Linked DNA regions of Oryctolagus cuniculus. The protein of the gene in region 1 interacts with the protein of each later gene in a biochemical or structural test. Links are inferred from orthologs where the notes say so. Each region holds a gene or a part of one and is shown on either strand. Other genes may lie near its edges. The genes, in order: MAGI3 and ADRB1.

Region 1 (3,807 bases):
ATGGGAAAGTCCATATTAGGGAATAGTGTCAAAATCTTTTAATATTCAACAAAAAGCAGTCAGATCTAGAAAACAGTGAGAGTCTACCCTCCTGAAGGCAGCACGCTTCCAACTACAGTCTCTGCAGTGGCATTACCCCCACCTGCAGAGTTAAAACTGGAGCTCAGGGATACTGAATCTCCTGTGAGTGCCGCTGTGGGACCAGCGCTGTGGTCCTCTAGCACAGCCCGTGGGCTCCATCTGGATTTGTTGTTACATGTAGTTTCTTAACAGGCTGTAGCATAATGTAAGCCTTGTGTTGTAATTCCAATATGTTTTTAGTGAGAAAAGAGATTCTTTTTTGCTAGCCCTTCTTCCTACTTTTCTTCTTCTATTTCATTTTTTCTCCTTTCATTTCTCTTCTTTACTCTTTGTTCCCCCACAATTTTAAATTATAAAAAATAGAACCTGAATGTTTATTTTTCTATCTATCAAAAGTTGTTCCTTTTTATTACATCTTCAAATAACACCATTTTAAAATATAGTTTACTCTTAGAGGTGCCTTTTTTTTTTTTAAGATTTATTCATTTATTTGAAAGTCAGAGTTACACAGAGAAGGAGAGGCAGAGACAGATCTTCCCTCCGCTAGTTCACTCCCCAACTGGCCGCAGCTGCACTGATCCGAAGCTAGAAGCCAGGAGCTTCCTCCAGGTCTCCCACATGGGTGCAGGGGCCCAAGGACTTGGGTCATCTTCCATTGCTTTCCCAGGCCACAGCAGAGAGCTGGATAGGAAGTGGAGCAGCCAGGTGTCGAATCGGTGCCCATATGGGATGACGGCCCTGAAGGCGGTGGCTTTACCTGCTACACCACAGCACCGGCCCCAGAGGTGCCTTTTTTTATCTTTTAGTTTTCTGTAGCTTCCCCTCCTCTGAGGGCCTGCCACCAGAAATCTGAAAGCCCTCTTTTCCCACCAATTTAATTTTAAACAAAAATGACACCTGGTGGCAAATCTACTCAATTACAAGTTGTATTTACAGTTTATTATACTAAGAATAAAGTGTACAGATTTGGAGAGTTAAGTCAAATGTGATTGAAATTAATTAGAATTTCAACCATGTTTTATAGGATAAACCTGAAGCATGCCCCAGTTATTACCTTCTTTAATTGACATTTAATTACCTGCAGGATTGTATGTCTAATACTGATTTCTCCTCTGTATCTCTTCTTCACAATTTTTTCACTACTTAAACAAGAGAAATCTATATACTGACTTTTGTTTCATGCATATATTCTCAATAGTAAGGGGTTTTTTTAATTAATTATCTTTAGTGCTTCTCTCCATCCTGTTTTTATTATTGTCTTTAAAAAAATTAACTGAATACCAGACACTGGGTAATTTATAAAGAAAACAAATTTATTTCCCACAGTCTGACAGCTGGGAAGTCCTAGGTTGAGAGGCCACATCTGGTGAGGGCCATCCTGATAACAGGACTGTGCACAGTCCTGAGCCCTGTGGGGCGTCACGTGGCAAGACCAAGCATGGGTGACCCAGGGAGTCTGGTAACAAAGCTACTCCCTCACTATGCCATTCAGCCACTTGTCCATGAATAGATGAATGAGGGCAGAGCCCTCACAATGCAAGCCCCCCCCCAAAAAATTCCCCCTCCAGTAAGTCATATGACTTTGGGGATTAATGCCAACACATACATTCCAGGGACAAACATTCAAATCCTAGCAATATGAAATCCATCTTTTTTCTGATTACATATCCTCCAGTTCTTTAAGAGTAAGACTCATCTTTTTTTATATATAAATATGCAGGACACTTTATGTTCTATTTCACAATTTATTTGAAATTTTTTGCATTGTAAAGAATAGGGTGTAGTCTATAGTTAAATCTTCCTACCAGTGCGCTTTAATATACTTGAAAACTAACATTTGTGCTTGGTGTACAATCCTGTTTCATCTCATTAAATCCTTCCAAGAACCCCAGGAGTCGGTACAGAAACCCTCACTTAGTAACTGAGGAAAACGAGACCACACAGCCAGCAAGCAGAGCCAGGACGTGAGCCTCAGCCACAGCGCTGGGCTGTATGTGGACTGGGTGTAGATACTGACCTTTGAGAAGTAATTATCAGTTCCCCTTCTGCTGTTACTTATGGGTTATTTTAGTAAGCTCCCATAAAGATTTACAATTTTGCTTTTGGAGATTTTACCAATATCGCATGGTTTAGTTCTGTTTTGAAGCCAATAGTCTTCTGTTGGCCTGTCTTCTTGAAATCAATTTAAAATTATTATTATTTTTTTTTTTTTGATAGGCAGAGTGGACAGTGAGAGAGAGAGAGAGAAAGGTCTTCCTTTTGCTGTTGGTTCACCCTCCAATGGCCGCCACGCCTGGCGCACTACAGCCGGCGCACCGCGCTGATCCGAAGGCAGGAGCCAGGTGCTTATCCTGGTTTCCCATGGGGTGCAGGGCCCAAGCACTTGGGCCATCCTCCACTGCACTCCCTGGCCACAGCAGAGAGCTGGCCTGGAAGAGGGGCAACCGGGACAGAATCTGGTGCCCCGACCAGGACTAGAACCCGGTGTGCCGGCGCCGCAAGGTGGAGGATTAGCCTAGTGAGCCGCGGCGCCAGCCTAAAATCATTATTTTTAATCAGGTTCTTTGCAAAAGTTATACTTGACTTTTCCATATTTGTCCTTTTTCTTTTAAAATAACAACAGACATTTCTGCAAACACAAACAGTACTGAAGTACCTTACTCTGATCCCTAGCTTTATGTTGGAAATGATTTTACACTGAAGTCTTTAAATGTAAGGCAGTTACTGGCTTCAAGTAAGTGTTTATATTAATCTCTAAGCTTAATTTTTTAGGCTTTTAATCTATAAATGTCATTTGTCTAATGCCTCATACACGTACAGGACATAATGGCAATACCCAGGCGCGGGCAGTTCTCCCAGGAAGGACTTCAAAGATGAGGCACCACCTGCCCAGGTTTTAAGGAATAAATTCAAGATTCAGCTCAAGTTTGAAAGTCCCCTTCACAGACTGATCATCCACATAGCGACCTGTGGGATCATTTGGATTGGGGTAGAAACTTACCTCCTGTTCCACTGCTTACCTTTTGGTGCCAAGTGTAGAATTTGGTTCTTGGATTGAAGATGCCTATATCCTGACTTAGCAGCCATATAAAACTTATCCATGTGCGATTTGTATCGAGAAAGTAAAACTGGACATTGTCTCTTCCTGTGGTTGTGCACTCCTCAGCCCTAGTGTGATTGTGCTGTGATCACATTAAATATTTAACAAATGAGAGAGTCACTTAGCAAGGTCACATGGCTGTGGAGCTGACAGAAGCAGAAAAGAAGAAGAGTGCAGAGTTTCATGTTGTTCCCGGGAATGTTCCCTGTCTAGGTTGGTGACCAGATTGTTGAAATCAATGGGGAGCCCACACAAGGCATCACACATACTCGAGCAATTGAGCTCATTCAGGCTGGTGGAAATAAAGTTCTTCTTCTCTTGAGGCCAGGAGCTGGCTTGATACCTGACCACGGTAAGTAACGTAGTTCGCTGGTAGCTTCAAAGTTGTATGTTAGGGAAGGGCAGCAGAAGGAAAAGGAATTTCTATTTGGAGGATAGCTTTTTTTTTTTTAACTAGCTAATTCAGAGGTGAACACCAGAACCACCAGAATCTAGTTGGATAACCGTGTACAAGTGAATTCAAGTATTCAATTTGTTGGAATGGAGTCCACTTTAAGTTGATTTCATCAGAAAACACAGATGGCTTTTGCGGAGAAATGTGCCTGTAAAATGGCAGGGCCCAGGAG
Region 2 (4,396 bases), on another chromosome or scaffold:
TCCCACCCGTTCCCCAAACATTCCTTCCTGGGCAAAGGCCCCACGGCCTTTCTGTCTGCCCTGGACAATGCGGTCACCCGCCGTTGGTAAACACCCATCTCCTCTCCCCTCCACCCGCACCCCGCGGTTCCCCGGCGAGCTCTCCTGCTCCTCCTCCCCGGGCGCAGGGCGCGCGTCCCGGACGCGGGGGGCGCGCCGGGCCCTACACCTTGGACTCGGAGTTGAAGCCCGGGCGGCACGGCTCGTCCAGGCTCGAGTCGCTGTCCGCCGTCGCCGCCGCCGCCGCCGCCGCCGCCCCACCATTGCAGCCTGCCCAGGGATCCAACAGGCGCGCGGGTGGCGTGGCCCCGACGTCGTCGTCCTCCTCGTCCGAGGCTGCCCCGGGCGACGGTGGCGGTCCGGCGCGCGCGAGGCAGCCCGAGGCGCGCGGCCGGGCGTGGGGGTTCGCATGGCACCCGCGGGCGGCCCGGCGCGCGCAGCAGAGCAGGCGCTGGAAGGCCTTGCGGAAGTCGGGGCTGCGGCAGTAGATGATGGGGTTGAAGGCCGAGTTGGCGTAGCCGAGCCAGTTGAAGAAGACGAAGAGGCGGTCGGGCACCAGGTCGCGGTGGAAGGCCTTCACCACGTTGGCCAGGAAGAACGGTAGCCAGCAGAGCGTGAACACGCCCATGATGATGCCCAGCGTCTTGAGCGCTTTCTGCTCGCGCAGGGCCACGAGGCGCGACGGCCGCCGCTTGCTGTGGCGCCCGTTGGCCAGCGCGGCCGCGGAGCCGGAGCCGGGGCTGGAGCCGGGGTCCGGGCGCGGGGGCCCTGGCTCGGGCGCGGGGCCGCTGAGGAAGCGGCGCTCACAGCTGTCGATCTTCTTCACCTGCTTCTGCGCCTCTCGGAACACCCGCAGGTACACGAAGGCCATGACGCACAGCGGCACGTAGAAGGAGACCACGGACGAGGCGATGGCGTACGCCCGGTTGGTGACAAAGTCGCAGCACTTGGGGTCGTTGTAGCAGCGGCGCGCCTCGTCGCCCTCGGCCCGCCACCAGTGCATGAGGATGGGCAGGAAGGACACGAGCGCCGAGATGGCCCACACGGTGCACACGAGGGCCCGCGCCCGCGCGCGCGTCAGCAGGCTCTGGTAGCGGAAGGGCGACGTGATGGCGAGGTAGCGGTCTAGGGCAATGACACACAGGGTCTCGATGCTGGCCGTCACACAGAGCACGTCCACCGAGGTCCAGAGCTCGCAGAAGAAGGAGCCATACTCCCAGCGGCCCCACACCACGATGGTGGCCCCGAAGGGCACCACCAGCAGCCCCATGACCAGGTCGGCGCTGGCCAGGGACATGATGAACAGGTTGGTGAGCGTCTGCAGCCGCGGTGTCTTCGCTATGGCCACGATCACCAGCACGTTGCCCGCCACGATGAGCAGCACCACGAGCGCCATAAGCAGGCCCATGCCAGCCGTCCACTGCTGCGACAGCAGCGCGGGGCCCTCGCTGGCGGGAGGCAACAGCGAGGCGGGCGGCGACGCGGGCACCAGCAGCCGCGCCGCCGTGGCCGCGCCGTCGGGCAGTGGCGCGGCGGACGACAGGTTGCAGGGCTCGGAGGCGCCCAGGGCGAGCGCCCCCGCGCTCATCCCGAGCTGCGGAGGCCGGGGGCGGGGGGTGTGGCGGAGCTGGGCCGTGGCTGGGGAGCCCTCCGAGAGGCCGTGCCGGCGGGGCGCGCTGTCGGAGGTCGCGGCCAGGTCAGGGCAGCTGCGGCGCGGAGCCCGAGGCATCGGCTCCGGGCGCCCTCCCCGCAGCCGCCGAGCGCTGTCGCCGCCGCCGCCGCCGCCGCTGCTGCTGGGGCCGCTGCCGCTGCTGGCAGAGCCGCCGGGACCTCAGCATGTTTCTGAGCGCGCGGGGCCCGCGGCCCCGGCACCCAGCACCCACCCCCCGTTCCCACCTCCCGAGCCGGCCCCCGGGGCCTGGCGTCAGGCTCCTGCAGCCAATCGGGGCGAGGGCACGCCCCCTTCTCTGCCTCCCCACTCCCTGCTACCCCGACTCCCCGCACCCCCTCCTACCGGCGATTGAGCGGCTCGGGGGAGTCGGGGCAGAGCGTCCAGCCAGCGCCTCTCGGGCGCCCGCGGGTTCCGCCGAGCGCTCCCTTTCCTGCGCCCGCCCGCTCCAGCGCCCCGTTCCCCTGCGCCGCCTAGGGCGCCCGGCTCCCGGCCGCGTCCCCGCCCCCTCCCGCGCTCGGCTCCCTCCCGCTGCCCCGCTCTGCCCACCCCCGCATCCCCTCTACCTCCGTTGTCCGGATTCCCCGCAGCACTGGGCGCCGGCTCCCTTAGGGGGCGGCGAACGTTGACATCCTCACGGCTCCTGGGCGCCTCGAGCGGTCTTGTCCGCCAGGGTTGGAGGAGATTGGTTCTTGGGTGTGTAGAGTCCTTCCTCCGCCAAGGGGGCACCGGGCCAACCTGCGTCGCGCCAGCCCTGCGAGATCGGAGGTGGGTGTTAGCAGGGAGAGGAAACTTGGCAGCACAGCGCGTTGCGGGAGCAAACCGCGCACCTGTCTCTGCGCGGGTGCGGCGCTTGCGAGGAAGCGTCTGTTGTACTTCGGGTGCAGGAGATGTAGCAGGGGCGAAGGCTGCTGCATCCAGCAGCCAACGCGGAGGCTGAGCTGGAAAAACACACACTTCCTAGCCCCTGCGCGTGATGCAACAGTGTGTGTCCACGCCGTGAGGGGAGAGGCTAGGGAAACACGCATGTTAACGCGCACGCAGACAGACCACCTCCACTGACGCTTTAGGCTTCCCACATTCAGTCACAACACCTGCATTTTGTGAGTTATTGCACGCAGGTTTTTATACTCAGGGCAGTGTGGATTGCAGACTCTGAGGCACTGACAGTTTTGGTTGAAGCAATGAACTGGGATTTTGGATTTTTTGGTCTGGGTGGCGGTTTGTTCCTTTACCCAAGTTCCCAGATTCTTGCAACTCTGGGGTTAGTTTTGAAGGGATGAGAGAGAGAGAGAAAAAAACCATAAATCCTCAAGGGGATTAAAACCCCAAAGCATTTAAAGTTATACCAGTGGTTTCTGAGTTGGCAAATGGGTTCATTTAAGGGTTAGAGGGTTGTTAACCTAGTTGTAGGTGGATTATATGGAGGAGAGGGGGAATGGTGGGGCCAGGAGCACACAGGGCAGAGGGAAGCAAGCCCTTTCTCTAATTTGGCCCTGGTAAGGAACTTAGCTCAGGCCTGAAAATAAACAAAAAACCTTTAATTAGATCCTTGTGAAGTAAACAGCTCCCGATCATCATGAACGTGTTATATAACGCTCACACATCTTTACGGCGTTAGAATAAAAAGAACAGCATCTAGAAAGAGCATCCACCACGGCCCAAAACCGTGCTCCTACCTTGCCAGAGAGAGGCGAACAAAAAGGAATGCTTGTTACGTGTGCAGACGTCAGACCGTTTGCACCAGCTTCTTGAGACTAGAGAAATGCAAACACATGAATTTGCTTTAGGCCTAAGCATGATCATCGAAGCATTCCTACAACCCGGGAGTGATTAATTTGTTTATTCACCCCTGCCCTGGACTCAGCCCAGTTTTGCCAACTTGGGGAGGTTGATGTGGGGGAGTCAGGAAGAGAGGAGCTGGAAAGAGGGAGGAAGGAGACCGGGCCCTTAGTGACTCCACTCCTTGCAAGTCCTCCCTTTGGCCCGGTGAGAGGGGGAGCTAAGGGGTGGTATTAAAATAGCCAAGGGATTGGGTGGAGTGGAAATTGATGCTGCCCAGGAAAGGGCTCTGAGTGCTGGGTGGGGTGCAGGGAGTGTGGGGAAAGCTGCTGTCTACCCGGCGCAATCCTCCTGCCAAGTGCTGCTACTGGAATAGAGTGTGTCAACCTCAAGTGCCCGCACAGGGCCAGGGCGCAGGGCGCAACACGGCGAGAAGGCCTGACTGTGGGTGCAGGGGCTGGCGCAGAAGCCGGGTGCAGGTGACTTCACTGTGTGGTTACTTGCACGAACGTCCTGGGCATCAGCATGGCCGGAAACCTCTCTCCTGGCTCTCTCCCCTACTCATTCAGAGACACCACAAATACGTACATGGAATTATAGACACCGAAAGCAAAGGGTATTCTAACAGGGGCTGCTTCGCAGGGATGCAAGTAAAGCAGGGTCCTGGGAATTCTCAGGGCTCTCTTTCACTTGGGGTTAGGATTAGGGTCCTGAGAAGAGTTTTGGAATAGTCGGTGTTCAACTAGAGTTAGCTTGCCCCTTGAATTCTACATTTCATGGTGCTTTATTTTTAAAAAGTGTTTTTTTTTTCAGCTAGCTTTTTGTACTTAGATAAGATCAAGAAGGGTTTCCAGGTATCAACTATTCTGCTAAACAGACTGAGATTAAGGATGTTATAAAAATAAG

Evidence for each region.
Region 2: the proteins of MAGI3 (region 1) and ADRB1 interact in a test that uses a peptide from one of them, tested with the Homo sapiens proteins (2 studies listed by IntAct, with this or other methods). The link is inferred for Oryctolagus cuniculus from reciprocal best matches to the Homo sapiens genes MAGI3 and ADRB1.

The regions. Positions count from the first base shown.
Region 1 is NC_091438.1:56,685,784-56,689,590, reverse strand, and holds part of MAGI3 (membrane-associated guanylate kinase, WW and PDZ domain-containing protein 3), read left to right. Parts: intron 1-3,101; exon of another isoform or gene 3,102-3,394; coding exon 3,395-3,533; intron 3,534-3,807.
Region 2 is NC_091446.1:16,246,601-16,250,996, forward strand, and holds the start of ADRB1 (beta-1 adrenergic receptor), read right to left. Parts: upstream 2,802-4,396; 5' UTR 2,539-2,801; intron 2,463-2,538; 5' UTR 2,275-2,462; intron 1,851-2,274; 5' UTR 1,769-1,850; coding exon 203-1,768; 3' UTR 1-202. UniProt on the Homo sapiens protein: Beta-adrenergic receptors mediate the catecholamine-induced activation of adenylate cyclase through the action of G proteins. This receptor binds epinephrine and norepinephrine with approximately equal affinity.